Saccharomyces cerevisiae S288C: one gene and its partners. The protein of the gene in region 1 binds, or shares a complex with, the protein of each later gene. Each region holds a gene or a part of one and is shown in the gene's direction. Other genes may lie near its edges.

Region 1 (9,113 bases):
ACCTCATTCCTTACTGGAGAGGCTTGTTCAACATTACAAGCATAATCGTTGTTTTCACCCTCATTATTAGGACGGGCTTTCTTCACGCTCTTGTACTGTGCAATATTGTCTTGCGTAAAACTTTTACTGTTGATTTTATTCATACTTTCCTGGTTCTCCTGTCTTTGAACATGTTCAACTTGCCCTTTTCCATCTTCCTTTGTTATGGTTTGCTGGTCAAGATCTAAAGTGACATTCAAGGAATTTTCATTACAGTTTGTTTCCACTTTTATGCTATTCCTTAAAGCTAACGAAGATTCTTCGTTGGCTATACTCTTGATGTTAGTACATATAACGTCACTGCTAGGCGACACCGCTTGTTCCTCAGAAACTAAAACGTCCACCATCGTTTCATGACCTTTCGATCTTTTATTTTCAGAGGTAGGCGTCTCTTTGGAAGGTCGTTTTAGAGGATTATCACTGTTAACAACGTTATGATCAGGATTCGTTTTGATAGATCTATTTGTTACCGCCTTCAGTTCGCTAGTGAGAACTTCTATCGGTTGGTATGCGTTCACTTCCGAGGATTGTGTATCAATACTTTCATGCAGCTCAGTAACATCCACCTCATCGCTTTTAGTAGAACAAATGTTGCTATGATTGGCCACGTTTTTATCTAACTGCGTACTCTTCATCTGCTGATCTATTTCTCTAATGCTTTCATTATCCACTTCCTCTAGTGTTTCATCATCAATTGATCTGCTTCGGTTAGCATGTGATTCTTGCTGTGAAGAATTCATTATTGCAGTATTTTTAAGCGATATTGAATCTGAATCTTTCGCACTAATCTGGGAAGATATTTGAATTGAGGAGGGAGGCTCTTTCATTCCCTGCGTAGCCGGAACCTGGATATCTTGAGAATCCACTTTTCTCTGTAAGTTTGAAAGTTTATTTTCACTCCCTTCGCATGGAATATACATCGACTTAGTGTCAGGTATAGCTTCAATTTCCTTACTTGAGTCCCCTTGATGAACCACGCCCGATTCCTGTATCCACTTTCCTATTGTCTTTAATGTTGCATTATAGGTTCTCTTATCTTTAAACTTACGATTATGTGATTTGATGAGGTCAATCAACAGATTAACCATATCAATAGTTTGATAGTTAGGGTTTGGCGGTAATATACTAATTAACATGGAAAAAAATTTTTTGGCGGCACTTCTAGAAAGCGGTTTAGTGAGATATAATAAGACTAATTCACGGAGCATATTTGTACTCTTTTTGTGTTTTTGCATATTAGAGCTAACTGGATTTAAGAAGAAAACTAAAAGTGGCTCCTTTAATTTTTCCAAAATTTGGATCTCTTTTTGTATAATAATCTTTTCAAGCAACTCCAATATATAATCATCATCTCCATTTTCAATTTTTTCAATAACTGCTGCCAGTAACTTCCCATTAGGCTTCTCCTTATACGTCAGTAATTTTAACAGTAGCTCTGGACTTATTTTGAAAAGAACTTCGCTGGTCATATTTCCGCAAAATTCATCCAAATGATCCGCCATATTATTCTTTATGCAAAAATTCAATAGGCCACTGAATAATGGTTCAATGGGATTTGCCATCGCCAGATGAAGGAGTTCTCTGATTATTTCTGATTTTTCTAACTCGCTATCAGACGCATTTTGTAAAACGTTCTCGATTTCTGAAAAATTTTGATTTAGCTGTTCAAGTTGTTGACCCTTCAACAGCCAACGAACTAATGTAAGCTGTTCGGAGCACTTGAATAGTTTTATGTTTGCTGCAAAATATGAAGCTCTGCTACGTGGTAACAGCTTCAATAGGAGATCTGAATTTAGATCAGGGATGGAATTTAGTAAATTTGGATTGGAATGAATACAGTACTCCAAAATATCCATAAATTTGTTACGCCTTAAAAATGGGAGCAGACCGGAAAACAGTTCAGGATTCCCTGGTAAAGAAGTTTTTAACAGCGTGATCAGATCCACGTTTAATTTGTTTTCATTTTTTGAAACATAGCTTTGAATGAAATAAATAAAATTATTGTTCGACCACATAGACACATGAAGTAGTGTAAACAAATTAACTGGAAAGCTGAGCTTCAAACATAGGTCCAAGAAATTTTCAATGGAATTTTCATTCGGAACTTTGTTCACAATATTCGCCAAACTCTGAAATTCTCTGAAAGATATATTTGGTGGTAATAACGTTGATCCAACCCAATTTTGGGCATATACTTCTGTTTTCTTATCATCCAATTCTAGAAACTTTTCTATTATCAGAAATTCAGATGTTTCGTTTCGAGCTTTCCTGATAACATCTTTTAAAAGATCAAGGGTCATGTTTCCTTGCGAAATACCAACTTTGGAAATTTGGATATTGAAATTTACTAATGATGAATCATTCTTTCTTAAAAACAGGTCCAAAAATGTATAAACAAACGATGAAGTAACAGCACCAAAAAAGTCACGAAAAATGGGTGTATCTTTGTTGTTTTGCGTGACTTTTAATATAAGACTGCTAAAGGATTCTAAATGAGTTTGGTCCTTTCTATCCTCTGGAAGATGCTTCAAAGATGTAAGGATCAGATCATGAGCCAAATTAACGTTAGAAATGGCTACTTCAACAGCCTGGAACACAACTTTCATGATTTTATCGTATTCACGCTTGATGATCTGCGGGGGCAGGCTTGAAATGTCTTTTAACTTTACACCTTCTGAGGCTATAACACTCATTGGGTGAATATGCTTTTTATATTTTCTTTCCAATGCAACATCTGCATTCTTTCCCCCAATTAACAAATGCAAAACTGTGAAGAGTACATTTTGCAAGTGAATCGAATCATATTTGAAAACATAATCTTCATAAATCGGGGTTATTAGGTGGTCCCAAAATAGTTCAAACATATCTGTTGACAAATTCTTATTACTTGTAAATGCAGTGTAAACAACACCTAAAAGGTGGTAGATGATCCCTTCTCTAGCGCTTGGATCATTCACATAAGGAAGCGTCATTTGAAAAGGGGTTCGTAAAAGTGACAGTAAACTTTTGTTTCCTTCCTGATTTTTCTGTGATATTTTCGTGCATATGCAGTAGGTAATAATTCTCCAAACTTTGATGGACATTAAGCGAGTCTTGGGGTGATTATTGATAAAGCACAGGTTATTTAAATCAAACCAAACTTTGTTAGATTCTGATGTCAAATCATAAACTCTCTTTCCGCTATCGTATAGTAATCCGGTCATTGAAAGCCACAAATCCATTGCTATTTTATTGTCATTTTTGACCACAATATAGTTTTTTATCTGCTGTGTAAGAAGATGACCAATTGTCACTTTATCTAAATTAGCGCTGTCATATGAATTTAACGGTAGTTTAGATAAAAATTTTTCCGGGATTGTTTCGCATACTGGAGATAGCATGATACACTGGTAAATCCTTTCATGTTCATCAACAAAATCTAAGCATTTTTTTAGTAGTTCCAGTAAAACAACTATTGAAGTTATGAGAATTTTCATGGAGTAAATTTCATCTCCGATAATAATCCTAGGTAGTACCTCACCTGGTAACCAAGAAGTTACCGTCTCAATCATTAATTTTGGATACTTGCTCAAAAATCCCCTTATAAGTAGCAATTTTTCATATATTAGGTTGTGACTATTGATTTCCATTATTTCAGTGAAAGTGCTAATGATAGGTTTAATTTCTTCGTTGCTCAAGAAAAAAGTACCAAATTTTTCGTCTCTCAAGAAAGAGACTTGTGCTGTTATGATTATCTTGTTTGAATTTTCATTTCTTAGCGCACCGGTGGTCCACCTGTAAATAACTTTTAACTTATTAACCAAATCTGGCCTTTTCGTTAGCCACTTAACGATTTTGAAATTAGACATAATAGCACTGAAGAATCGAACTATTTGAACATATAGTCTGATTACAAATGGATTTTTTTTTTCACTACTACTTAATAATGTGTCCTGTGCTATTTGTAGATGCGGTATGCATATTTCAATGATACTTTCTATATTCACAATTAGAATATTGAATTTCTGATCAACCTCGTTAACATTTTTAGTGGTTAGAATGGGTATAATATTATTAAAGGTTGCGTATACCTCAAACCTCCTCGCGACGTAATCTTCAGATTCTTGTCGCAAGATGCCCAATCCGCCCTCAATAATTTCTTTAAACTCCGAAACACTTTCATTATCAACTAAACCATGGATCTCACCACTCACCCAATACTCTAAGGCGCGAGGATTTACCCTTGTTTCCTTATAAGGTGATGTGAAAATATTACCGTTGTGTAATTTGTGTTGGGTATATTGGAGTTTATTGTAACTCAAGTCGCTTACAGTCCTCACTGAAGGCAACCTATTCCTCAAAATTGATTTTCCTGGTTTGCTTGATGGAGAGGGTTTAGGTGAGGAACCTGGTATGCGGTAAATCGGTGATGATTCTATCCTATCAGAAAAAGCTACACTTTTTGTAACCGGTGATACATTATCACTATTAGAGGCAGACAACTCTGGAAGACTTTGCATTAGCCTGCTTCCTGTATCTTCTGGATATAAATTCTTGTTAATAGCTGATAAATCAAATTGTTTATTCTCGCAATCACTTGAAGACGCTAGCTTTCGCCTCTTTGGCGTTGGCGATAGATCGCTTTGTATATGCATATGAGCTTGTGGAGATGGAGGTGGCAAGTTAGTTTTCATCCACGGAGAGCTTCCATTGGAATAATTATCGTGTTGAGACCTACGGAGGATATGCTGATCAATTCGATCTATCGTATGTTTCTTTTTATCTGAAAAATCTTTCGACATTGCAAATTGACCACAAAAACGATTTTGCAATGGCAATCCTGTAATAACGTTGACGAATATATATATATATATTCACTTTTATCTCCTTAGGTACTGATGCCGACGAATTGCCTCAAATCGCTCTAAGACTGCGTTATTACTTTCGATCTTCTTGCTAACGATGAGTCGCCAATAAATAAAAAATCGACGCGTCGGTCAATTATAGTAACTTCTATTATTGTAGTAAATATGACATAAGAGGAAAAACACAAAGAACTGAAAATCAAAATGGCACTAATCACCTGCCTTCTGTTGACTTCTTGTTTCTTATCAAAAGTAGAGTATATTCACGATGTAAATCTAAGATAGCTGTCCTTACTATATAAATATTTGCTGCGGCCCTTTTTTAACGATTTGTAAAGGATTACAGCAGTTCGTTATACTTGGCTGATAGCGTTAATTTTGCATACTTTTCTTATAATTGGTAATTTTCCTACGTATTATACAGTTGTACGTATACTTATATAACAAAGTTCATGTGTACTTCATATTAACCTCAGCGATACCCCTACAGATGATGTGCCAATCCATAGTTTTGTCTTTTTCGCGATTATAATGCTTTTTCCACCATTTGAAGAGCTCATATACGAAGAACAAGTTTGGTTGAATGATAACATTAAGCCTCCGTACCCTCACAAACAAATACGCACTTGCCAGGTCACACTGGAGATATCTCATACATTCAGCTATACAAACTGTTGCAGATCTGGAGACTCCGACCATACAATGCACCAGAACTTTCCCTCCTGTTGCTTCGGAATTGCTAATAAAATCCAAAACTTTGTCTATTTGGTGGAAAAGCGGATCTTTGCCGTTGTCATCTAGATTTTCGATCTGGCAAATTTGAAATCCAGAATTTTCACTTATTACTACGTTGCTGCCATTTTCTTGCTTATCGCTGACCACAGTATCAGCTCTATTTCTGCTTTTATTACATGTAGTATTACCTGCAACTTCATTGGTATTCGTCATAGTTATTGCACGATGTGGCCTTACAGGATGAGCAATTTTATCCTTATTCAATGTCCATGAAACAACTTCACCGACAGAAACTATATGCGTAATTCCTAGAGACTTAAGTAAGGCAGGATTTTGTGCATGATCCAGGGATCCCAAATACAAGTGACGTAGAATCCGGGATGGCAGTGGGCCCTTCAAATTAACGAAATTAGACTCAAGAGGAATCTTCATAAAAAATATGCTACTAAAAAGCTCTGAAGAAATGTGTAATTGAAAGCTTTTATCCCTAAATTTCAATGCATTGGCATATAATTTTAGATTACTTCCATTCTGCGGACTAAACTCCCGCAGGACAGGTTGTAAATGGCCTAAAATTTGCAAGTCTGATGGAAAAAGGAAAAATGGTCTTGGATGGATCCTCAAAAGAGCGTCTTGTAACGGAATATTAAAGTGGAATATAATATAAGCTGTTAATAATAATGACGTTTCTGTATATCCGTCTTCGCAATACATGAACGTCAATAATTCTTGAACTTGGGATACTTGAAATATTAAATAACAAACATTCAAAAGAATTTCCACAGACTGAATGTTTAAGTTCCCCAAACCTATACTACCTGAGGCAGGGAAAGTCAAATGCAAATGCTCTTGTGATTTTGACGCATCATCGTCTAATAAAAGATCTAGATATGTTCGGATTTTCGTTAACGACGGCATTTGCGAGTTTGACGTACATTTTATGATCAATTTCCACACCTCTTTTGTATTCGGTATGTTATACAGTTGAGAAATGGAGGTTGTCGGATTGTCCGTATCATAATTTAGAGACTTTAAATTTACTATGCTTGTATTCTCTTCGAAACGGTGGGTCAGAGATATATTGTTTTTTTTAATTATTTGATAATTATGCCAATCAGTGGTGTTACCGCAAATCAACCCTGTTTCCTCCAATCGTGTAGCTGAAGTCAGCTTATTCAACTCTAACTTCTCGCACAAAACCATATTCTTATCAACGTTATTGAAACACACTATTTCACTAGGTGACGAACATAAATTCAAGGGAGTATTATTCTTGAAAAATTCGTTGTCTAATAAAGGTGTACCAATCAAAGTTTGAGGTATATCTGTATTGAAATTCTGATAAGTGCAAATAAAAAGATTCGTCTTGTAAAGCGATCCTCCACTCCCTACATAACCCTTTTGAACAAACATTAAACAGATCTGTAAAAGTAGTGCAAGGGTTGTACAATTGGGGCAATTTCCCTCGTGTGAGCACGCTGGCGCTGATTCTGTTTGCATATCAGTGCTGCCACCAGTCCGCGAACAATAAATTACTATATTATCAACCATTTCTATCATCTTGGCACATTGCAGGTCGAACCTTCGGAATAGACCTCTCCTTCCCCAGACGTCCTGCCCACTCCGTTTTAGCGTGGTATTAGACCCAACCTTGTTTCTAGAATACCTTTTAAGTTCTAATGATAGTCCACGAGGATCTACTTTCAGAAATGGTAAAATGCTATGATTGTGACAATAAGTAGCAGCGTTTTCCAAAGCAACATCATCCACTTGCAATTCCAATTGTCGTATCTGAAACTTTAGCAAGTTCAAAAGTTCCTTTGTGTTATTGGGATATTGAAAACCATTAGAATCATTTCCAGTTTCACAGGTATCGCCCTCTCTATGAAAGGAAGTGCGAACTTTCCAGGACTGGAAGATATCATTCACTTCGAGAGAATTACGCAAAAGCGCAGAATTGTTAGCATCTGATTGCGATTTGACTATTGCAAGAGAATGAGGAAAATCGGGTGGTTGACCAAAGGAAATATCATGAGCCCAGGGGAACATTTTTTTACATTCAGGCCATTCTGCATCCTGATGTAGTCGCATAAGATCATGCAGTTCACCAGGTGTGATTGAGGGCACTTCCAAAACCATGGTTGTTGCTCTAGTTTTCTATACCCGCCCCTTCTACCTCAATGACAATCTCTCTTTTATGGTTGGTGTTTCTTTTCACTTTTTTACTTCTTCTTGTACTTTTCTTTTTGAACCTTAAAAACTCTTGCAATTATGTTTCCATGATGCTTTTGAAGTAATAATTTATTTTTATTACGCGAAATTAATGGCCTTAACAACTGCCTGCCCCAACAGATAAAAACAAGCAAGGGTCAACCGTGTTGCAAAAAAAATGTCCAACTTAGTTAAAGAAAAAGCACCTGTCTTTCCTATATCTAAAGTAAAGAAGATTGCCAAATGCGACCCCGAATACGTAATTACATCTAATGTAGCTATATCAGCGACCGCATTCGCTGCTGAGTTATTTGTACAGAATCTCGTCGAAGAATCGCTGGTCTTAGCACAACTGAATTCGAAAGGAAAGACAAGCCTACGATTAAGCCTAAATTCTATAGAAGAATGTGTCGAAAAAAGAGATAATTTCAGGTTTCTAGAGGATGCCATTAAACAACTGAAGAAGAATAGCGCACTCGACAAGAAGAGAGAACTAAACATGCAACCGGGTCGGAGCGATCAAGAGGTTGTTATAGAAGAGCCTGAATTGCATGAGGATGATGGTGTAGAGGAAGAAGAAGAAGAAGACGAGGTATCCGAAGAAGAAGAGCCCGTACACAATGAAGAACTTCTTGATGATAGTAAAGATCAACAAAATGATAAATCCACGCGCAGTGTGGCAAGCTTGCTGTCGAGATTCCAGTATAAATCCGCACTAGACGTAGGAGAACACTCCGACTCTTCTGATATCGAAGTTGACCATACGAAAAGCACCGATCCTTAGTGTTGTTGCTATTATTGCTATGTAATTACTATTCGATGCAATATGTTATACATATACATACACGCAATGAGAACCCTAACCTTGAACTTACTATTTTAAAAGGACATCTCGAAAAAGCTTAGGGATAATTAATATTTTGTAGGTTAGAGCTGTTATGTAGGGAAGAAAAACAAGGGCTTTAAAATAATAATCACATTACACGAATAACTTAATTTGTCTTTCTGAAATGGAAAAAGAAAAAAATGACGACTGTAACATTGGATGAATTAATACTGTCATTATTGATACGTTGTTAATTATAGACAGAAATGTATTCAGTACAATAGAACAGTGCTCATAATAGTATAAAGGGTCACAATGTCCAAAAAACAGGAATATATTGCACCAATAAAATACCAAAACAGCTTGCCTGTGCCACAATTACCTCCTAAACTTCTGGTTTACCCCGAGTCTCCGGAGACGAATGCAGACTCCTCCCAACTAATCAATTCACTATACAT
Region 2 (13,547 bases), on another chromosome or scaffold:
AATACAGAGTGCCGCAAATGTTCCAATTTTACCTGATGATAGTCAAGACAGAAGCCCAGAGTTGAACTTTGGCTCAAACTTGGACGAAGTACTCATCGAGAATGGAATTAATAGCAAAAATATACATAGCCAAACTGACGCTTTAGCAGACCAGATGAGAGTTTCAGCTGTTATGTTAGCACAATTGGATAAGTCGCCACAACAGTTATCAGAAAGTACCAAACAAATCCGCGCTCAAATTATTTCATCAATGAAGGAGGTGCAGGATAAATTTGGTTACCATGATTTGGAAGCCCTTCATGGAATGGCAGGTGAGAGAAAATTGGAAAACGATTTAATGACGGGTGGTATTGACACTTCATATCTAGGTGAAGATTGGGCTACCAAGAAAGAGAGGATACGTAAAACTTCGGAATATGGCCATTTCGAAAACTGGGATTTATGTTCTGTAATCGCCAAGACGGGTGATGATTTGAGACAGGAGGCGTTTGCATACCAGATGATTCAAGCGATGGCCAATATTTGGGTTAAAGAAAAAGTTGACGTTTGGGTTAAAAGAATGAAAATTTTAATTACTAGTGCGAATACGGGACTTGTGGAGACCATCACAAATGCTATGTCTGTGCATAGTATTAAAAAGGCTTTAACCAAAAAAATGATTGAAGATGCAGAACTAGATGACAAGGGTGGTATTGCCTCTTTGAATGATCACTTCCTTAGAGCTTTTGGTAATCCTAATGGATTTAAGTATAGAAGAGCACAAGACAACTTTGCTTCTTCGTTAGCCGCATATTCTGTCATTTGCTATCTCTTGCAGGTTAAAGATAGACACAACGGTAACATTATGATCGATAACGAAGGCCATGTAAGTCACATCGATTTTGGATTTATGCTATCAAATTCACCCGGCTCAGTGGGCTTTGAGGCCGCACCATTCAAATTAACTTACGAATATATTGAACTGCTAGGCGGAGTAGAGGGAGAAGCGTTTAAAAAGTTTGTTGAACTAACTAAAAGTTCGTTCAAGGCTCTGAGAAAGTATGCTGATCAAATCGTATCAATGTGTGAGATTATGCAAAAGGACAATATGCAGCCTTGTTTCGATGCTGGCGAACAAACAAGTGTACAACTACGACAAAGGTTCCAATTGGACTTATCAGAAAAAGAAGTTGATGACTTCGTAGAAAATTTCTTGATAGGTAAATCTTTGGGTAGTATTTACACCAGAATATACGACCAATTTCAACTTATTACACAGGGTATATATAGCTGAGAAGGAAAATAGCTGTGACAGAACTGGAAAAACAATTTGCAAATGTCCGGAGAACAAAAAAATTGGAATTTTAGTAAAAGGAATATACATATATTTATTTATTGCCGAGAATAATAGAGCAGCTGACTCAGAAAAAGCAAGGTAAAAGAATGAGAGTAAAATAAATATGTGGTTAATTAACCATACATATAAATTATTATCTTATTTTCTGCGTAAAGCGTCAAACCGTTTCTTCAACTCATCTAGTTCATCATTTTCTTGCTCCTTCTTAGTCTTTCTTTTTGTAGTTTTCTTTTCTGATTGTTTCTTTTCGATCACTTCCTTTTTGATATCTTTCGGAATCTTGAGCTCGTTCTTGATATTTTCACTATTCTGCCTAGGCTTTTTAACAGTGATAGGGTGTTTAGCATCTGCATTGTCATTATCGTCATTATCTAAGGCTAAAATAGGCTTTTCTTCGTCATTATCCTCGATATCTCCCGAGGGGTCACTAAAGTCTGAAGAAATGTTAGAAGACGACGAAGATAAGGAATTCTCCAGCTTACTATATGGCACATCGTATGTTTTCGCGATTTCCTTCAAATAAAGATCAACTAGTTCTTCTTTTGGAACTGAGGGAGAGCATTTTTTTATAATCTTTTCAGGGACATCGATATGATCTGCTATTACTCCATTAACAAACTCAACGTTTATTTTCCAGGCCATCAAATCTTTCAATTGGCTAAGTTCTTTGACTTCATCAACGAAAAGAATCGCATAGATTAGGGATCTGATAGCTTCGTTAATACCATCATCCATATGCTCTTTGACAAGCTGTTCCTCGGTGGAGATATCGTTTATTACCTGCACTCTAGCCAGTAGTAATTCACAATATAGTTCCAATATCTCTAGTAGCTCAATATGAATATCGTCATGAATTAGCGTCTCCACACGATAATGCGCCTTCTGTTCTTTATTTGTCAGTAACAGTTGTGCAACCTGTCTTCGAGACTGCTTTGCAATCGCCTGTTGCTTTTCTTGAGCATATCTTAACCTTTGAATACACATTTTCAGGCATGTTTTAAGCTTGATCTATAACAATAATTTGGATGATAGTTTTACCCTTCTTCAGTTAGTACATCCTAGATCTTTTGCATACTAAAGCTTTTTAAAAATTACTATAAAATATAAACATACAGTGAACGGAATCATTGACGGAGCCATTTTTAGTTGTCGTATTCTCTTATCTATCTTCTATGTTGACTAGTTCTGATTGATTAGCTGGAACTAATAGTATATATAATTTTCACACCCTTTGGAATTCAGAAGGCGTTTTTTTTTTCATGAAACAAAACAATAGAGTGCGGATAGCCGATTCAGTTGATTCTAAAAGTATATAAAATGCGATAAGCGCATAAGCAGCCATTATAAACGTACATCTGAGTCTAGATATATACGTTTGTGTAGCGGGAAACGTTAAAAAAAAAAATCTTAATTATAGTTTATCAAATGACCATATCAACAGGATATTTTAATTCGTCATGTTGGCCCTTGGTGTCATATTCACTTAATCCGACAATGCCTCCAAACTTTAAAAATCTATCAAAACGTTTCAATCGTAAATCGTCAACTTTCTTAACCATATCTGGCCAATAGACTTCATGTTTATACTTGAAGTCTAACAGACCATTGTATAGAGCATCTAGTTGAGATGGCTCTATGTGGTTTTCAAATGGTTCGTCAAAGATAGCCTTCGCCTTAGTGGCAGGGTCAAGGAACGGATACATCATCTTCAAAAAAGCCCACGCAAACCATGGGATATTGATCAGGACACACTTAGCTAACCTTTCAGGGTAATGATCTTGCATGACGTTCAAACACATCCTAGCAATAGAGATGGGTGGAGCTTTATCAGTGATAATACCAGGTTCTTTATAACTTTTGAAATCTACCAAGACTGTGATCTTTTCTACACCTTGGGGAGCTACAGTTGTCGCAGTTTCCATCATGTAGACTAATTCTTGGACTTGTCTAAAGGAAGATTCTGTGTTTTGACGACCATTTTTCATGTAGTATAGAGGTCTTTTAGCGTTGTCAAAGCCCAAAATAACCTGTTTACCAGTTTCGTTCTCAACGGCAACTTTGTCAGCTGTTAAAGGGTCTTTGTCCTCCTTACCATGTGTAAGTCCAATTTCTCTCCTCCATACCAAGGTTTTGGTGAGACCTTTTATGGCGTTCGCGGTGTTCCATTTATTGGCTCTTAGGTATCTTAGAAAACACTCCCTAGAAAGCCAAAACTTCTCCCAATCACTCAAGGGTCTGTCATTGGCATGTGTCCCATTGTCAAGGTCATTGAGATTTTCTGGTAATTTCAGATCATCATCTTGAAAATGTCGTAAGACAGCTCTATATTTTTCGTTTTGATCTTCGGAGATGGGTTCCAGTAGAGGTGCGTTACCATACTTGGCAGGAGGGTCCAAGAATATCTTATCACATGGAATAAGTTTCTCTTTAGGCACAGCAGGCGTATGGTCCCGTTTTCTTGAAAAAAGACCCATTTTTGTTCTTCTTCTTGTGCTTTCTTTGTGTGATTTTTCAGGGTCTTTTTTTTTAAACAATGATGTAAATTAAATCTATCTAAAAAGCGTGATTTTTCCCACGAATTTTAATCCCTCTATTGTTCTCTTTCCACTCCATATTGAGTGAAAGGAAAAATAAGAAAAGTAAATAGAAAATTTATGACGTAGGAATAAAAGTATATAAGTATTTAACAAATTGACCGTAGATAATAATAATGCGCATGAAATTAAATCCTCTCTTTGATCTCTTCAATCAAGATCAACCCATTAACCACATTAGAACATTTTGCCAAATGAAGCCATAGACGAATAGGAAGTAATTGCACTTCTTGACGGTCGATTTGCTGATGGAAACGTGTATATCATCGTCTTCAGCACCGGAGCGGCTTAGTAAATTGAACTTGACGGATCTTAGTAGGAATACGCCAAAGGCAATAAATAAGTAAAATTTTATCAAAATATTCAGGTTAAATGGCATGGTCACGTTGGTCAAAAGCTGGGCGAGAATCAATGGAACAAATTTGTAGCCGACATAGCACAACAGTTCGACCAAACTGAAGCTTGGAATCTTAGAATCGATCAAAAGATACAAGCCAAGCTTCAAAATCAACAAATCTAAACACACAAACGCCAGAGTAGAAGACAGTTTGTAGTACAAGTCTTCGGGGTTGAATGAACCCTTCAGACCTTGCTGCGTATTCCAGATGAGAATATAGGTAACTAGTCCCATAATAGGCATGTACATGTCTGGGGAGTTCACGTCATCCCTTGGTGGCAAAAAGTTGCCAGAGTCCATAATTCGTTGCCAGTTCTTGGTTCCGTTAAGAAAAGGAACTAGGATGAGTTTCAATTTATTGATGACATAACGGGTGCTGACTTGAAAATACGTTGAAATTTGTTGAGAGCCGGCAGCGTTTGCAGTGGCTTTATTGACCGTTTCTTGAAACTGGTTAAAGTTATCCTGACCAATAAAATTAGAAAATGCGCTCTGCCCTAGTTGGAATGCCATCGAACCACGAGGATCTTGGAATGGAAAACCACCGCCACTGCCATTTACGTTTGCATTCATATTCGCATTACCTTGGCCATTCACGGGCGTGTTCCTCGGAATTTGCATTGGTCGTTGCTGTTGTGGAGTGTGGGAAAAGCGATCGTTAACGCCATTCTGCTCACTTGTTGCATATGCGTACGGATTATAAGACATCTTGGTATGGGCCTTTGGTTTTCGTTTTCTGCTATTGATACTCAGTAGCGAGGTCTTACAATCGAAAAGTCAAAAAGATGAGTTGTAGTATAAAACAACAGCTCTGGTGTGCAATATGGATCTTGATACAGAGTCTCGGATATGCTGTTTTAGCACTGAGAAAAAGTAATAGTAACACTGTCAGTGTTCGTCAAAGGCCCAAGTTTATTGTCATTTGAATTGTCAGAATGGTTTATTTTCAGGTAGGGTAACCAGAACGCGTAAGTTTCTTGCATCTTTTACCATTTTAACTGGAAGAGGACCTATCAAAAAGAGCATATGATGATGAAAGAGCACATTCTATCAAGATAACACTCTCAGGGGACAAGTATATGATGTTTGGCAAGAAAAAAAACAACGGAGGATCTTCCACTGCAAGATATTCAGCTGGCAACAAGTACAACACACTCTCAAATAATTATGCGCTTAGCGCGCAACAGCTCTTAAATGCTAGTAAGATCGATGACATCGATTCGATGATGGGATTTGAAAGATACGTACCGCCGCAATACAATGGCAGGTTTGATGCGAAGGATATAGATCAGATTCCAGGCCGCGTAGGGTGGCTGACGAACATGCACGCAACGCTGGTCTCTCAGGAAACCTTATCCAGTGGTAGTAATGGCGGCGGCAATTCGAATGACGGAGAACGTGTAACGACCAACCAAGGTATTTCCGGAGTTGACTTCTACTTTTTAGATGAAGAGGGTGGGAGCTTCAAGTCGACAGTTGTCTATGACCCATACTTCTTTATTGCGTGTAACGATGAATCAAGAGTAAATGATGTGGAGGAACTAGTGAAAAAATATCTGGAATCTTGTCTCAAAAGCTTACAAATCATTAGAAAGGAAGATCTTACCATGGACAATCACCTTTTAGGGCTGCAGAAGACACTTATTAAGTTATCATTTGTAAATTCCAATCAGTTATTCGAGGCCAGGAAACTCCTGAGGCCAATCTTGCAGGATAATGCCAATAATAATGTGCAAAGAAATATATATAACGTTGCTGCAAATGGCTCGGAAAAAGTTGACGCCAAACATCTGATCGAAGATATCAGGGAATATGATGTGCCGTATCATGTCCGAGTATCTATAGACAAGGACATTAGAGTCGGTAAATGGTATAAGGTAACTCAACAGGGATTCATTGAAGATACTAGGAAAATTGCATTTGCCGACCCTGTGGTAATGGCATTTGATATAGAAACCACGAAGCCGCCTTTAAAATTCCCGGATTCCGCCGTAGATCAAATAATGATGATTTCGTATATGATCGATGGGGAAGGTTTTTTGATAACAAATAGGGAGATAATCTCTGAGGATATTGAAGACTTTGAGTATACACCGAAACCGGAGTATCCTGGTTTTTTCACCATATTTAACGAAAACGATGAAGTGGCGCTTCTACAAAGGTTTTTTGAACATATAAGAGATGTACGACCCACTGTTATATCCACCTTCAATGGTGACTTTTTCGATTGGCCTTTTATACATAACAGAAGTAAGATTCACGGCTTGGACATGTTCGATGAAATTGGTTTCGCTCCAGATGCTGAAGGTGAGTACAAGTCCTCATACTGCTCTCACATGGATTGTTTCCGTTGGGTGAAGCGTGATTCTTATTTACCACAAGGTTCCCAGGGTTTAAAAGCTGTTACTCAATCTAAGCTAGGTTATAACCCAATTGAACTGGATCCCGAATTAATGACGCCGTATGCATTTGAAAAGCCACAGCACCTTTCCGAATATTCTGTTTCCGATGCAGTCGCTACGTATTACCTTTACATGAAATATGTTCATCCTTTTATCTTTTCCCTTTGTACTATTATTCCTTTGAACCCGGATGAAACATTGAGAAAGGGTACCGGTACTTTGTGTGAAATGTTGTTGATGGTTCAAGCTTATCAACATAATATTCTTCTACCAAATAAGCATACAGATCCCATTGAGAGGTTCTATGATGGACATCTTCTAGAATCCGAGACTTACGTGGGTGGACATGTGGAGTCATTAGAAGCTGGTGTTTTTAGGAGTGATTTGAAGAATGAATTCAAGATAGATCCTTCTGCCATTGATGAATTATTACAAGAATTACCAGAAGCTTTGAAATTTAGTGTGGAAGTTGAAAATAAGTCCAGTGTAGATAAAGTAACGAATTTTGAGGAAATAAAAAACCAGATAACGCAGAAATTATTAGAGTTGAAGGAAAACAATATAAGAAACGAACTACCTTTGATCTATCATGTAGATGTCGCCTCTATGTACCCAAACATCATGACTACAAATAGACTACAACCAGATAGTATCAAAGCAGAGCGCGATTGTGCTAGTTGCGATTTTAATAGACCCGGAAAAACCTGTGCAAGAAAGTTAAAATGGGCTTGGAGAGGAGAATTCTTTCCCAGTAAGATGGATGAGTATAACATGATCAAGCGTGCATTACAAAATGAGACTTTTCCCAACAAAAACAAGTTTTCTAAAAAGAAAGTTTTGACATTTGATGAACTAAGTTACGCAGACCAAGTTATCCACATAAAAAAACGTTTAACTGAATATTCAAGGAAAGTTTATCATAGGGTTAAAGTATCAGAAATTGTCGAACGAGAAGCCATTGTCTGCCAAAGAGAAAATCCATTCTACGTCGATACCGTGAAATCCTTTCGTGATAGGCGTTACGAATTCAAAGGTTTAGCCAAGACTTGGAAGGGAAATCTGTCCAAAATTGACCCATCTGATAAGCATGCGAGAGACGAGGCCAAAAAGATGATTGTGCTTTATGACTCATTACAATTAGCTCACAAAGTTATTTTGAATTCGTTTTATGGGTATGTTATGAGGAAAGGCTCTCGTTGGTATTCCATGGAAATGGCGGGGATTACGTGTTTAACAGGTGCCACGATCATTCAAATGGCGAGAGCTTTAGTAGAAAGGGTAGGAAGACCATTAGAATTAGATACTGATGGTATTTGGTGTATCTTACCAAAATCTTTCCCTGAAACTTACTTTTTTACATTAGAAAATGGTAAAAAGCTTTATCTCTCCTACCCATGTTCCATGCTGAATTACAGAGTTCACCAAAAGTTTACGAATCACCAATACCAAGAATTAAAAGACCCATTGAACTATATATATGAGACGCACAGTGAAAACACGATTTTTTTCGAAGTTGACGGACCATATAAGGCCATGATTTTGCCTAGTTCCAAGGAAGAAGGAAAAGGTATAAAGAAAAGATATGCTGTCTTCAATGAAGACGGCTCACTTGCTGAACTGAAAGGTTTTGAATTGAAGAGGCGTGGTGAATTACAACTAATAAAAAATTTTCAAAGTGATATTTTCAAGGTCTTTTTGGAAGGTGATACATTAGAAGGATGTTACAGTGCTGTAGCAAGCGTATGTAACCGTTGGTTAGATGTTCTTGATTCACATGGTCTTATGTTAGAAGATGAAGACTTGGTCAGTTTGATTTGTGAAAATAGAAGTATGTCAAAAACTTTAAAGGAATATGAAGGGCAAAAATCTACTTCTATTACGACGGCAAGGAGATTGGGGGATTTTTTGGGTGAAGATATGGTAAAAGATAAAGGTCTACAATGTAAATATATTATTAGTTCAAAACCTTTCAATGCACCTGTTACTGAACGAGCCATTCCAGTCGCAATATTTTCAGCGGACATTCCCATCAAAAGGTCTTTTCTGAGGCGATGGACATTAGATCCATCTTTGGAAGATCTGGATATCAGAACCATAATCGATTGGGGTTATTATAGAGAAAGACTTGGATCTGCTATACAAAAGATAATTACTATTCCAGCAGCATTACAAGGGGTTTCCAATCCTGTTCCAAGGGTTGAACATCCAGATTGGCTAAAAAGAAAAATCGCTACAAAGGAGGATAAGTTTAAGCAGACTTCACTAACCAAATTTTTTTCGAAGACAAAGAATGTACCAACAATGGGCAAGATAAAAGATATCGAGGATTTGTTTGAACCAACTGTAGAAGAAGATAACGCCAAAATTAAAATTGCAAGAACTACTAAAAAGAAAGCCGTATCCAAGAGGAAAAGAAATCAGCTTACAAATGAAGAAGATCCACTAGTATTGCCCTCGGAGATTCCTTCCATGGACGAGGACTATGTTGGGTGGCTAAATTATCAAAAAATTAAATGGAAAATCCAAGCAAGAGATAGAAAGCGTCGAGACCAATTATTTGGTAATACAAACAGCTCCCGTGAAAGAAGTGCACTAGGAAGTATGATTAGGAAGCAAGCTGAATCATATGCGAACTCCACTTGGGAGGTCTTACAATACAAGGATTCCGGTGAGCCAGGGGTTTTGGAAGTATTTGTAACAATTAATGGCAAAGTCCAGAACATCACCTTCCATATACCAAAAACTATTTATATGAAATTCAAATCTCAAACAATGCCGCTACAAAAGATTAAGAATTGCCTTATTGAAAAATCTTCTGCATCGTTACCAAATAATCCCAAAACGTCTAATCCAGCAGGCGGTCAGCTATTCAAAATTACTCTACCGGAATCTGTCTTTCTGGAAGAAAAGGAAAACTGCACTAGTATCTTCAACGATGAAAATGTACTTGGTGTATTTGAGGGCACTATCACTCCTCATCAAAGAGCGATCATGGATTTGGGAGCTTCGGTAACGTTCCGCTCAAAAGCAATGGGTGCGTTAGGCAAGGGAATACAGCAGGGTTTTGAAATGAAGGATCTTTCAATGGCGGAAAATGAAAGGTATCTGAGTGGATTTTCAATGGACATTGGCTATTTACTACATTTCCCAACATCAATTGGGTATGAATTTTTTTCATTATTCAAGTCATGGGGAGATACTATTACTATATTAGTTTTGAAACCATCCAACCAGGCTCAGGAAATAAATGCCTCATCATTAGGACAAATATACAAACAAATGTTTGAAAAAAAGAAAGGTAAAATAGAAACATATTCTTACTTGGTTGATATTAAAGAAGATATCAATTTTGAGTTTGTATATTTTACAGATATCTCAAAATTGTACAGAAGACTATCACAGGAAACTACTAAATTAAAAGAAGAAAGAGGTCTGCAGTTTTTACTCTTGTTACAATCTCCGTTTATCACTAAGCTCTTAGGCACAATCCGGCTTCTAAACCAGATGCCCATTGTTAAGCTTTCCTTGAATGAAGTTCTTCTACCCCAATTGAACTGGCAACCGACATTATTGAAGAAACTTGTTAACCACGTTTTATCCAGTGGTTCGTGGATTTCTCACTTGATCAAGTTATCCCAGTATAGTAACATTCCAATCTGTAATTTGAGGCTGGATAGTATGGATTATATTATTGATGTTCTTTATGCAAGAAAACTAAAAAAAGAGAACATCGTGCTTTGGTGGAATGAGAAAGCTCCACTTCCAGATCATGGAGGCATTCAAAATGATTTTGATTTAAATACATCATGGATAATGAATGATTCAGAATTTCCCAAAATTAATAACTCAGGTGTGTATGACAATGTAGTTCTCGATGTTGGTGTTGATAATTTAACAGTGAACACAATTTTGACATCAGCATTAATCAATGATGCTGAAGGCAGTGATCTAGTTAACAATAATATGGGTATAGATGACAAAGATGCCGTTATTAACTCGCCATCTGAATTCGTGCACGACGCCTTTTCTAATGACGCTTTGAATGTTTTAAGAGGTATGTTAAAGGAGTGGTGGGATGAGGCCCTAAAAGAAAATTCAACCGCAGATTTGTTGGTAAATTCCCTGGCAAGTTGGGTTCAAAACCCGAATGCGAAACTATTCGACGGATTACTAAGATATCACGTTCATAACTTAACAAAAAAAGCCTTACTTCAATTAGTAAATGAATTTAGTGCACTTGGCTCAACTATTGTATATGCAGACAGGAATCAAATTCTAATAAAGACAAACAAGTACTCACCTGAAAACTGTTACGCCTACAGCCAATATATGATGAAGGCAGTTAGAACAAATCCAATGTTTAGTTATCTGGACTTAAATATCAAACGTTATTGGGATCTGCTAATATGGATGGATAAGTTTAATTTTAGTGGATTAGCATGTATTGAAATAGAGGAAAAGGAAAATCAGGATTATACCGCTGTTTCGCAATGGCAACTAAAGAAGTTTCTGTCACCAATATATCAGCCCGAATTTGAGGATTGGATGATGATCATATTGGATAGTATGCTAAAGACAAAGCAGAGCTATCTAAAATTGAATTCAGGGACGCAAAGACCTACCCAAATAGTTAATGTAAAAAAACAAGATAAGGAAGATAGTGTTGAAAACTCGTTGAACGGATTTTCTCACCTTTTTTCCAAACCACTAATGAAAAGAGTCAAAAAGCTTTTTAAAAACCAGCAAGAGTTCATTTTAGATCCTCAGTATGAGGCAGACTATGTTATTCCTGTTCTTCCTGGTTCCCATCTGAATGTGAAAAATCCCCTTCTAGAACTTGTCAAATCACTCTGCCATGTCATGTTACTTTCAAAGAGTACAATTTTAGAAATCAGGACCCTGAGAAAAGAACTGCTGAAGATATTTGAATTGCGTGAGTTTGCTAAAGTAGCGGAATTCAAAGATCCAAGTTTGAGTCTCGTGGTGCCGGATTTTTTATGTGAATACTGTTTTTTCATTTCTGATATTGACTTTTGTAAGGCAGCTCCTGAATCTATTTTTTCATGCGTCAGATGTCACAAAGCCTTTAATCAAGTATTGTTGCAAGAACACCTGATTCAAAAACTACGTTCTGATATCGAATCCTATTTAATTCAAGATTTGAGATGCTCCAGATGTCATAAAGTGAAACGTGACTATATGAGTGCCCACTGTCCATGTGCCGGCGCGTGGGAAGGAACTCTCCCCAGAGAAAGCATTGTTCAAAAGTTAAATGTGTTTAAGCAAGTAGCCAAGTATTACGGTTTTGATATATTATTGAGTTGTATTGCTGATTTGACCATATGAGTAAGCAGTATATAACGCGAGGTTCAATGGCCTCTTTACCATGAAAAAAAAAAAAAAAAAAAAAAAAAGGTAAGGAAAAAGAGTATTTTCAATTCGTTTCTGAACATATAAATATAAATAACCGAAAAATTAGCCCTTGAACATAATTAACACTCTTCTTTGATATTTAAATCACAAGTACTTTTCTTTTATTTTCTTCTTAATACTTTTGGAAATAAAATGAATGTGACCACTCCGGAAGTTGCTTTTAGGGAATATCAAACCAACTGTCTCGCATCGTATATTTCTGCTGATCCAGACATAACTCCTTCAAATTTAATCTTGCAAGGTTATAGTGGAACAGGAAAAACCTACACTTTGAAGAAGTATTTTAATGCGAATCCAAATTTGCATGCAGTATGGCTGGAACCTGTTGAGTTGGTTTCTTGGAAGCCCTTACTGCAGGCGATAGCACGTACTGTACAATATAAATTGAAAACCCTATATCCAAACATTCCCACCACAGATTACGATCCTTTACAGGTTGAAGAGCCATTTCTTTTGGTAAAGACGTTGCACAATATTTTTGTCCAATATGAATCTTTGCAAGAAAAGACTTGCTTGTTCTTGATATTGGATGGTTTCGATAGTTTACAAGATTTAGACGCCGCACTGTTTAACAAATATATCAAACTAAATGAATTACTTCCAAAAGATTCTAAAATTAATATAAAATTCATTTACACGATGTTAGAGACATCATTTTTGCAAAGATATTCTACACATTGCATTCCAACTGTTATGTTTCCGAGGTATAATGTGGACGAAGTTTCTACTATATTAGTGATGTCTAGATGTGGCGAACTCATGGAAGATTCTTGTCTACGTAAGCGTATCATTGAAGAGCAGATAACGGACTGTACAGACGATCAATTTCAAAATGTAGCTGCGAACTTCATTCACTTAATTGTGCAGGCTTTTCATTCTTATACTGGAAACGACATATTCGCATTGAATGACTTGATAGACTTCAAATGGCCCAAGTATGTATCTCGCATTACTAAGGAAAACATATTTGAACCACTGGCTCTTTACAAAAGTGCCATCAAACTATTTTTAAGCACAGATGATAATTTAAGTGAAAATGGACAAGGTGAAAGCGCGATAACCACAAATCGTGATGACCTTGAGAACAGTCAAACTTACGACTTATCAATAATTTCGAAGTATCTGCTCATAGCCTCATATATTTGTTCATATCTGGAACCTAGATACGATGCGAGTATTTTCTCTAGGAAAACACGTATCATACAAGGTAGAGCTGCTTATGGACGAAGAAAGAAGAAAGAAGTTAACCCTAGATATTTACAGCCTTCTTTATTTGCTATTGAAAGACTTTTGGCTATTTTCCAAGCTATATTCCCTATTCAAGGTAAGGCGGAGAGTGGTTCCCTATCTGCACTTCGTGAGGAATCCTTAATGAAAGCGAATAT
Region 3 (9,037 bases), on another chromosome or scaffold:
CTACCAGTATCTTCCTCAAATTCGTTTGAAAGAGCTGATGATATGCCTGTAGTGCAGGCAGATAACCAGACGTCAAGTAGTAAATCTTTGCACATTGTTGCACCATCTCCTGAAGTACCAGTCAGCGGAGATGAAATCACTTCATATGGATATGGCTCTATACCCCAGAGCATCGGGGATGTAGAGAACGGATTGAATCCTCCTTATGTCGAAAATACATCATCTGATGAACTTGTACATGATCTGACGAGAAGACGGATATTTTCATCCTGTATGTGTACTTATTTATTCTTTATTGCAATGGACAGTTCTATAATCCTAGTAATTGCGTCCAAAATTGCTTCGGAGTTTCATGAGTTATGGAGATTATCCTTAGTCATCTCAGCATACCTATTGAGTAATGCTATTGGGCAACTGGTATTTTTGAAGCTATCTTTAATATCCAGTGTAAAATTGTTGTTGTGTATTGCTCAATTCAGTTTTATCCTTGGTGGCTATTTATCTTGGAGTTCTGCCCATTTTTGGACGTTTATCTTTGCCCGTTGTGTCACAGGATTTGGGGGCGGTTCCTTAATAGCGCTCAAAAGTACTATTATGAATCGGTTTTCTCAAAAGAACGACAGTCGGTACTCATTGAGTGCCTCTATGATAACATTTGCTATGGGTGTGGTAATTGGGCCCTTTATGATGAACTTGTTTGATTCTTCTCATGGTAGCGGGTGGAGAAATGCCTTCTTAATACCAGTTCCTTTTTGCCTTGTGAATGCCTCGATTATGCTGGCAGATATGTATTCTGTTAAGAGCACTTTATATGGACGCCCAACGCCTACATTATGGAAAAGATTCAAGAATACTCTATTAAGTCCTGATTTATACGAAATATTGACACTTACGCTATTCCTACTTTGTTTCGTTCAAGTGACCTCATTGGATTTAACAGGGTTAAAGAATAATACGATGATTCAAGCGCTACTATTTTCTGTAATTATCGTTTGTGGCATTTTATTTTTCTTGATAGAGACAAGCGATACTTACATGAACTCTGTAATTTCAATGTCCTTACAAGGTGACAAGCGTTTAATATGGACAATGATAGGAATTTCATTTTGCTTTGCAGCATTAATGTGCATCATCCCATTCGGTACAACGTACTTCATCATTGTTTTAAATTTAAGCACTTTACAACTTGCAGAGAGATTGTCCCCATTCTTTTTCTCCATTGTACTGGGTTACTTTAGTGTTTCTTATTTTTGGAAGTCGAAAGGACAGAATTTTTTGCTAAAATTTGTTTTAAGCGGAGCCACCCTGTTACTATATGTGGCACTTATGGGGGTAAGTTTGAATTTACCAGTATGGAAGCAATATATATGTTTGTCTCTGCCATTTTTGGGCTCCTCTATGATATTGACCTTGCTGTCAAATCTTTATCATGAGTACCATGAACAAAGAAAGTCACCTATCAGTGGTTCTATCGTATATTGTTTCGGTGCCGTGGGGGGGACGGTTGGTATTTCCTTGGGTGGTTATGTCTTCCACAAAACATTAATAAAACTTATGCATGAGAAGGTGATGCCATTTAGCAAGCAAGGTTATCTTAAAAAGGACCTTTTGAAAATTATCAAGCACGCTACGGAATCTTCAGATTGGGTACACGAATCAGCCCCAAAGTTTGTTTTTCAAACTTTGATTGAGTGTTATTTACAAGCATGTCGAAACGTATTCAAACTCTCTACCCTTTTTTTTACGATTACTGTCGTAGCAATATTCATTTTCAACAGAATCCATTGTCGTAGTCAAAATTGTTTGTCACTATCTTGAACCGGTAGATGAAAATGTATACTTTAAATAATACAAATACTTTTTTTCTTTTTTCTTAAACCCGATAATACTTTTGTCGCTTAGATAAAGATGCAGGGAACTTCAATCATTGTGGTGACCGCACAAAGGCGGGATCTGAAAAATGATCGTATGGGGCGGGGGAAGAATAGAAGAGTGAACAAGGGGATATGGTATCCGTGCAAGAAATGAATGGCCAGAATAGCTTGATTTTTACTTGCTGAAAATGCAGCAAGCGGAAACCCCTCTATCAGTAGGCAACCAAAGAAAACATGGTTTTGTTTATGATAGTGTTTTCTCCGACTAAATGACACTTAATATATAAGCCAGTCATTTTTCTTTCATACTTTCCTCTTGCATGACGAAACAATTCTTTTTTTATTTCGTTTCCTTGTCTGTACTTTTTAGACACTTGACCATATCACAGATATTTACAGACTCTTTTAATTCTAAATAGGTAAAATGTTCTTCAGCCAAGTTTTGAGATCTTCCGCTCGTGCTGCCCCAATCAAGAGGTATACAGGCGGTAGAATAGGTGAATCGTGGGTAATTACGGAAGGTAGAAGGCTCATTCCAGAAATCTTTCAATGGAGTGCAGTATTGAGCGTTTGTTTAGGTTGGCCTGGTGCTGTATACTTCTTTAGTAAGGCAAGAAAAGCATGAGTTTGATAAGAAAAAAAAATTTGCTAAAAATGAGTGTAACACTACCAACATGGCGAGTTTAGTTTGATACTAGGCGCTATACATTATTATTTATATGCCCAGAGGTTACAACAGTGGCTACAATGCAAAAAATATACTGGCTTATATTTTTCATTTGAGATCTGGTTCCTCAAATATATATATATATTTATTTATTTTTTACACATACATACTGCCCTCCTGATTACTTTAAACATCTATATTACAAAAGAGAAGCATTCTTTTCCGTCCATTATACCGTTCTCGGGCGGATCCTTAGTTTCTTACGTTTTAGCTCTAACACTAATCAAAATTCTTATGAAGTGTTGGGACGGGCTTTTGGGCCCCAATTCTTTGTTGGATTTTCCTGATATCTCACAATTTTTAGCTTCCTTAGTTTTTCAATATTACCGCTTTGTTCATTTGGTGCGAACGACAGCTTTGAGTCATACTCTGATTTGACAGTGCCACTCAACCATCCTGGCATTGCCGATAAAATCTTATAGCCCGTAGTATTTGGATTCATTTTGCTTAAGTCTTTCTTCTCATCATCACATTTCTGCATCACATACCAGATTGCATCCCATGGAGCGTTAGTCTTTAGGGACGATGGTTGGGCATGTGTCAATGAACATTCAAAGCCTAGGGAACCTAGGCCTGCGACTACTTTTTTCAAGGGAGGTACTTGTAATTTTATTACCGATGCAATATGGTTAGGACTGAAATAGAATGGCGAATCGGATAATTCATTCTTAGCTAGAGATAGCATACCTTCAATTCTTTTACGTGTTCCATATGTATCATCCTGGTCACGATGCTCTTCTTTATTAATTCTCAACACCTCCTCGATGAACTCCTTGTTGTGTAGAGGTCCTGCATACATTGGACCAGCTAAATGGTATGTCCCCTCGCAGAACTTACATTTAGTATCAACCGGAGGCCCTTGCGCAACCGAGTATTTGGTGAATGTTTTGTTGTTCCTACCTTCGCGTTGAGAAATTCTGCCCAGAGGTTGATTGTGGTAAGAGCCGCAACGGGAACAATGGTAAGTAGTCATAGTACTTGACATAACGTTTTTGACTTCAATCGGGCTTGTTTTGACTTTGACAAAAACTCTGACGTAAAAGTCAATGCTCAACGACAAAAGCGGTTCCACAGTTTTCTTGTATTTCGCGGCAGTTTGCTTTAGTAAGTTCAATACTAGTCTCAGCGCACTTTCGTGAGTTGATTCATGAGAAACCATATTTGCACCACCATATAAGGCAAAACACTTTTCTGGGTATCCGTTACCGGCCAAAACGGATAAATCAGTGCAAGTTACCAGCATTAGACCACCCTCCTCAATACTCTGAATAGCCGCATCTACAAAAGGTGTAACGGTACCGTAAGGATCCAAGTCGATGACGTGAAACTTATTATTCGTCGCTTTGTTACGGTACATTAAGACATTAGCATCATCAAGGTTTGGCTTGACAATGTTTTCGACACTATTATATTCAACGTTTCGTTTTATAGATTCGACAGCCTCTGGAAGTAAATCGTTAGCAATAACTTCCCTCACATGGGGAATTTCATGAGCATACCTAATGGCTCTTAACCCAGTGGCTGACAATGCTTCCAAAATATTTATATAAGGTTCGTTTCGATTAGAATTACCAACGGCTTCTTTTGGTGACCCGTTTCCCATTTTTTGACGCTTGGAAGAATCATCGTTAGTTTCCGCGCACCTTTTCTTCTTACTTTTTTTATTATTTCTCTTTTGGCCACATTCCTCACCATATAGGTTGTCCCACGCCTTGATGCATGTAACACTTAGATCTCTATTAAATTGTTGGATGGGATTATAGAAAACAGTTTCCTTTTTAGGGAAAAGAATTTCTGCTTTTCCTTCCTTGACTATATTGAAATCCTCAATATTGATTCTTGGTGCACCATACGCGGTAAAATTCGCTTTAATTTTGGATATAGCAGCCTTCAACATTCCGTGTAAATTTGCCCGCTTGAGGGGTATCCTGAAGAAACCTTCCATATCTACATTGTAAGAGGAAAGGTATCAACTTATGACTGCTCAGGATCTGTAACTTTGCGATGAGCATTGAATGCGATGAAAAAAAAATAATGCTTTATCCCTTTGGACGAATAAAGAAAGGCTCAAATTGGAATAACGTTAAAAACCAGATTCGATCATCAGAGCTTAAAATTGTTATTCATAGCGGCACAATAGCAGAAGCCACAGAATATTACCTAGAGGTTTTAGGTGAAAGGAAGGATTTTTTTAATTATTTAATACTTTGAAATAGAAGTCAAGCCTTTCATTGCTTATTTATATCAGACCATATATTTTTACACACGATGCCACCAAAAGGTTGGAGAAAAGACGCCCAAGGGAATTACCCCACTACTTCGTATATTAAAGAACAAGAGAACATTACGATTCAGGACCTGTTATTTCCTAAAAGCACTATTGTGAATTTGGCACGCGAAGTGCCACAGCAAAGCGGCAAAAAGCTGCTGATAAATAAAGACGCATCACTAGCGTTACAGCGTGGTGCTACAGTATTTGTTAACCACTTGCTCCTGTTTGCAAGGGAAATTGCAAAGAGTCAAGATAAAAAAAGCTGCAGTGTAGATGATGTTCTGAGTGCTTTGGACCATATAGGACACTCGGCATTGAAGGGTCCGGTTAGAGATAAACTAGATGAATACCAAGCTGCTGTTGAACAGAGGAAGAAGGAAAAACTAGATAGTGGTGAAGTAGATGCTGATGGCGATATAGATATGGGTGAAGATAAGGAGAATGTGCCCGTGGAAAAGGTTAAAGAGCATGACGAAATAGAAGAACAAGGCGATGCATTACAGGACGTAGAAGAGTCCTCCGAAAAGAAACAGAAAACGGAGAGCCAAGATGTAGAAACTAGAGTTCAAAACCTTGAGCAAACGTAACCCCGCTATGGAAACTGTCTAGTAGTGCTTGCCACCACTCCCACAGGATCGTAGTATGTAACTTGCCTTTATTACCTACATACATAATAAGCTATACTCATCGTCGTTATTTGCAAGCCGGGGAACCCAACGCGGCGCCAATGCGGAAGGAAAGAAAGGGGACAAGAAGTTGATATTGGTGGAACGTTAACAAGAAATTATGGCGTTGAGGAAGTGTATTAGCGAGATACGATATCAAGCAGGTTTAGTTAGAGCCACTTTGTGATTTGAAATTTTTTGAGATTTACTTCGTTATTATAAGGACATACGGTAACCTAGGCTAGTTAACATAATTAGTTGTCACCCTTCGCCCCCCTACCCTATCGGTCTTTCATTTTCCAACTATTGATTAGTAAAATTCAAACATCTTTGCTCCGATTAGAGCAACTGAATATACTAGGGATTTTGGGCTATTACGCATTTTTTTTTTCAACTTCTTTTAAACAGGTACAGTTTATTACGATTACTTTTTGCTCACGTAGAATATGGATGATTATCACGTAAATACTGCCTTCTCAATGGGCAGAGGTAACCAGCAGGATGATGGCAATAGTGAAAGCAACAGCATGCATACACAACCAAGCACTATGGCGCCCGCTACGCTGAGAATGATGGGAAAAAGTCCACAGCAGCAGCAGCAGCAGAACACACCGCTAATGCCCCCGGCGGATATCAAATACGCCAATAATGGTAACTCACATCAAGCAGAGCAAAAGGAGAGACAAGTAGAACTTGAAGGTAAATCGAGAGAGAATGCACCAAAGCCAAATACTACCAGCCAGAGTCGAGTTTCGTCTTCTCAGGGCATGCCTAAGCAGTTTCATCGAAAATCGTTAGGAGATTGGGAGTTTGTTGAAACAGTTGGTGCAGGTTCTATGGGTAAAGTGAAGCTGGCAAAACATCGTTACACTAATGAGGTTTGTGCAGTAAAAATTGTAAACCGTGCTACAAAGGCTTTCCTACATAAAGAACAAATGCTGCCACCACCCAAAAATGAACAAGATGTTTTGGAGAGACAGAAGAAATTAGAGAAGGAAATATCTAGGGACAAAAGAACTATTCGAGAAGCGTCCTTGGGACAAATCTTATATCATCCACACATATGTAGACTTTTTGAGATGTGCACGTTGTCAAATCATTTCTATATGTTGTTTGAATATGTTTCAGGTGGTCAGCTGTTAGACTATATCATCCAACATGGGTCAATACGAGAACACCAAGCGAGAAAGTTTGCTAGGGGTATCGCGAGCGCCTTAATATATTTGCATGCTAACAACATCGTCCATAGAGATTTGAAGATAGAAAATATAATGATTTCAGATTCCAGTGAAATCAAGATAATTGATTTTGGACTTTCAAATATTTATGATTCTAGGAAGCAGCTTCATACATTCTGTGGCTCTCTGTATTTTGCCGCTCCCGAGCTGTTAAAAGCGAATCCTTATACAGGACCTGAAGTAGATGTCTGGTCATTTGGTGTAGTTTTATTTGTTTTGGTATGCGGTAAAGTGCCATTTGACGACGAAAATTCGAGCGTTTTACATGAAAAGATCAAGCAAGGTAAGGTTGAATATCCCCAACATTTATCTATCGAAGTAATATCACTGTTATCCAAAATGTTGGTAGTAGATCCGAAAAGAAGAGCCACACTTAAACAGGTTGTGGAGCACCACTGGATGGTAAGAGGGTTCAATGGTCCCCCTCCTTCTTACTTACCGAAAAGAGTTCCCCTAACTATCGAAATGCTTGATATAAATGTCTTAAAAGAAATGTACCGTTTAGAATTTATTGACGATGTAGAGGAAACAAGAAGTGTTTTGGTCAGTATAATCACAGATCCTACTTACGTTCTTCTCTCTAGACAATACTGGACTTTAGCGGCCAAAATGAACGCAGAATCCAGTGATAACGGAAACGCGCCAAACATAACAGAGAGTTTTGAAGACCCAACTCGGGCATATCATCCAATGATTTCCATATATTACTTGACTTCTGAGATGCTTGATAGGAAACATGCGAAAATTCGGAATCAACAACAGCGACAGAGCCACGAAAATATAGAAAAGCTTTCTGAAATACCGGAAAGTGTGAAGCAAAGGGACGTAGAGGTCAATACAACCGCTATGAAATCAGAGCCAGAAGCCACGTTGGCGACAAAAGATACCTCTGTGCCATTCACTCCAAAGAATAGCGATGGCACAGAGCCCCCCTTACATGTCTTAATTCCACCGAGGTTAGCAATGCCAGAACAAGCGCATACGTCACCAACGAGTAGAAAAAGTTCTGATAATCAACGCCGTGAAATGGAATATGCTCTCTCTCCAACTCCTCAGGGAAATGACTATCAACAATTTAGGGTACCTTCAACTACTGGCGATCCCTCAGAAAAGGCGAAGTTTGGGAATATATTTAGAAAATTATCACAGCGCCGTAAAAAGACCATTGAACAGACATCTGTTAATAGTAATAATAGTATCAATAAACCTGTGCAAAAGACGCATTCTCGCGCTGTTTCAGACTTTGTCCCTGGTTTTGCTAAACCGAGTTATGATTCAAATTATACCATGAATGAGCCTGTCAAGACAAACGATAGCAGAGGTGGCAATAAAGGTGACTTTCCAGCATTGCCTGCGGATGCAGAAAATATGGTAGAGAAGCAAAGGGAGAAGCAAATTGAAGAAGATATAATGAAATTGCATGATATTAATAAACAGAATAATGAAGTTGCAAAAGGAAGCGGGCGGGAAGCTTACGCTGCACAGAAGTTTGAAGGAAGCGACGACGACGAGAATCATCCCTTACCACCTCTCAATGTTGCAAAAGGTCGAAAACTACATCCAAGCGCAAGAGCTAAATCAGTTGGTCATGCTCGTCGTGAATCACTCAAATATATGAGACCCCCAATGCCTTCATCTGCCTATCCTCAGCAAGAGCTTATAGATACTGGGTTCTTAGAATCAAGTGACGATAACAAATCCGATAGTTTGGGAAATGTTACTTCACAGACGAATGATAGCGTCAGCGTGCATTCTGTGAACGCACACATAAACTCGCCATCTGTGGAGAAGGAATTAACAGATGAAGAGATATTGCAGGAAGCTTCTAGAGCTCCAGCCGGTTCTATGCCATCCATCGATTTCCCCCGTTCTTTATTTTTGAAGGGTTTCTTTTCTGTTCAGACAACTTCATCGAAGCCTTTGCCAATTGTTAGATACAAGATTATGTTTGTTCTGAGGAAAATGAATATAGAGTTCAAGGAGGTTAAGGGTGGTTTTGTTTGTATGCAAAGGTTCTCTTCCAATAATGTGGCAGCGAAGAGAGAAGGGACTCCAAGATCGATCATGCCACTTTCGCACCACGAATCCATTAGACGTCAAGGCTCTAATAAATACTCACCTTCTTCTCCTTTGACAACTAATTCCATTCACCAGAGAAAAACATCTATTACCGAAACCTATGGAGATGATAAGCATTCGGGAACATCTTTGGAGAACATCCACCAACAAGGTGACGGTAGCGAAGGCATGACTACAACAGA

Evidence for each region.
Region 2: the proteins of DPB3 (region 1) and POL2 are in contact, whole or in part, in a cryo-EM structure (PDB 6WJV), measured with the Saccharomyces cerevisiae proteins. Residues at the interface, in NP_009837.1 of Saccharomyces cerevisiae: Cys23 (codon at 8,074), Pro25 (codon at 8,080), Glu26 (codon at 8,083), Val33 (codon at 8,104), Leu44 (codon at 8,137), Gln47 (codon at 8,146), Asn48 (codon at 8,149), Glu51 (codon at 8,158), Val55 (codon at 8,170), Leu56 (codon at 8,173), Gln58 (codon at 8,179), Leu59 (codon at 8,182), Glu79 (codon at 8,242), Lys80 (codon at 8,245), Arg81 (codon at 8,248), Asp82 (codon at 8,251), Asn83 (codon at 8,254), Arg85 (codon at 8,260), Phe86 (codon at 8,263), Glu88 (codon at 8,269), Asp89 (codon at 8,272), Ala90 (codon at 8,275); in NP_014137.1 of Saccharomyces cerevisiae: Asp302 (codon at 6,310), Ala304 (codon at 6,316), Val305 (codon at 6,319), Asn389 (codon at 6,571), Lys392 (codon at 6,580), Ile393 (codon at 6,583), Asp1080 (codon at 8,644), Lys1083 (codon at 8,653), Asp1084 (codon at 8,656), Val1270 (codon at 9,214), Trp1272 (codon at 9,220), Leu1273 (codon at 9,223), Gln1276 (codon at 9,232), Lys1277 (codon at 9,235), Lys1279 (codon at 9,241), Trp1280 (codon at 9,244), Gln1283 (codon at 9,253), Arg1287 (codon at 9,265), Arg1290 (codon at 9,274), Arg1301 (codon at 9,307), Glu1302 (codon at 9,310), Ser1304 (codon at 9,316), Ala1305 (codon at 9,319), Gly1307 (codon at 9,325), Ser1308 (codon at 9,328), Met1309 (codon at 9,331), Glu1582 (codon at 10,150).
Region 3: the proteins of DPB3 (region 1) and DPB4 are in contact, whole or in part, in a cryo-EM structure (PDB 6WJV), measured with the Saccharomyces cerevisiae proteins. Residues at the interface, in NP_009837.1 of Saccharomyces cerevisiae: Ala9 (codon at 8,032), Pro10 (codon at 8,035), Phe12 (codon at 8,041), Lys16 (codon at 8,053), Ile20 (codon at 8,065), Cys23 (codon at 8,074), Asp24 (codon at 8,077), Glu26 (codon at 8,083), Tyr27 (codon at 8,086), Val28 (codon at 8,089), Ile29 (codon at 8,092), Thr30 (codon at 8,095), Ser31 (codon at 8,098), Val33 (codon at 8,104), Ala34 (codon at 8,107), Ser36 (codon at 8,113), Ala37 (codon at 8,116), Thr38 (codon at 8,119), Phe40 (codon at 8,125), Ala41 (codon at 8,128), Ala42 (codon at 8,131), Glu43 (codon at 8,134), Leu44 (codon at 8,137), Phe45 (codon at 8,140), Val46 (codon at 8,143), Gln47 (codon at 8,146), Asn48 (codon at 8,149), Leu49 (codon at 8,152), Val50 (codon at 8,155), Glu51 (codon at 8,158); in NP_010406.3 of Saccharomyces cerevisiae: Asn25 (codon at 4,942), Thr37 (codon at 4,978), Ile38 (codon at 4,981), Leu41 (codon at 4,990), Ala42 (codon at 4,993), Arg43 (codon at 4,996), Glu44 (codon at 4,999), Ser49 (codon at 5,014), Gly50 (codon at 5,017), Lys51 (codon at 5,020), Leu54 (codon at 5,029), Ile55 (codon at 5,032), Asn56 (codon at 5,035), Asp58 (codon at 5,041), Ala59 (codon at 5,044), Ala62 (codon at 5,053), Leu63 (codon at 5,056), Arg65 (codon at 5,062), Gly66 (codon at 5,065), Ala67 (codon at 5,068), Val69 (codon at 5,074), Phe70 (codon at 5,077), Val71 (codon at 5,080), Asn72 (codon at 5,083), His73 (codon at 5,086), Leu74 (codon at 5,089), Leu75 (codon at 5,092), Arg79 (codon at 5,104), Lys88 (codon at 5,131), Ser89 (codon at 5,134).

The regions. Positions count from the first base shown.
Region 1 is NC_001134.8:752,287-761,399, forward strand, and holds DPB3 (DNA polymerase epsilon noncatalytic subunit), read left to right. Parts: upstream 1-8,007; coding exon 8,008-8,613; downstream 8,614-9,113. Other genes in the region: DNA-binding protein RIF1, read right to left, coding at 1-4,820; tyrosine/serine/threonine protein phosphatase PPS1, read right to left, coding at 5,334-7,757; PAF1 (Paf1p), read left to right, coding at 8,971-9,113. UniProt on the Saccharomyces cerevisiae protein: As accessory component of the DNA polymerase epsilon (DNA polymerase II) participates in chromosomal DNA replication.
Region 2 is NC_001146.8:142,806-156,352, forward strand, and holds POL2 (DNA polymerase epsilon catalytic subunit), read left to right. Parts: upstream 1-5,406; coding exon 5,407-12,075; downstream 12,076-13,547. Other genes in the region: PIK1 (1-phosphatidylinositol 4-kinase), read left to right, coding at 1-1,273; IST1 (Ist1p), read right to left, coding at 1,475-2,344, 2,450-2,476; PDR17 (phosphatidylinositol transporter), read right to left, coding at 2,758-3,810; protein transporter YIF1, read right to left, coding at 4,091-5,035; ORC5 (origin recognition complex subunit 5), read left to right, coding at 12,295-13,547. UniProt on the Saccharomyces cerevisiae protein: Catalytic component of the DNA polymerase epsilon complex which participates in chromosomal DNA replication.
Region 3 is NC_001136.10:688,716-697,752, forward strand, and holds DPB4 (DNA polymerase epsilon noncatalytic subunit), read left to right. Parts: upstream 1-4,869; coding exon 4,870-5,460; downstream 5,461-9,037. Other genes in the region: VBA4 (Vba4p), read left to right, coding at 1-1,818; COX26 (Cox26p), read left to right, coding at 2,299-2,499; TRM1 (tRNA (guanine26-N2)-dimethyltransferase), read right to left, coding at 2,834-4,546; serine/threonine protein kinase KIN1, read left to right, coding at 5,985-9,037. UniProt on the Saccharomyces cerevisiae protein: As accessory component of the DNA polymerase epsilon (DNA polymerase II) participates in chromosomal DNA replication.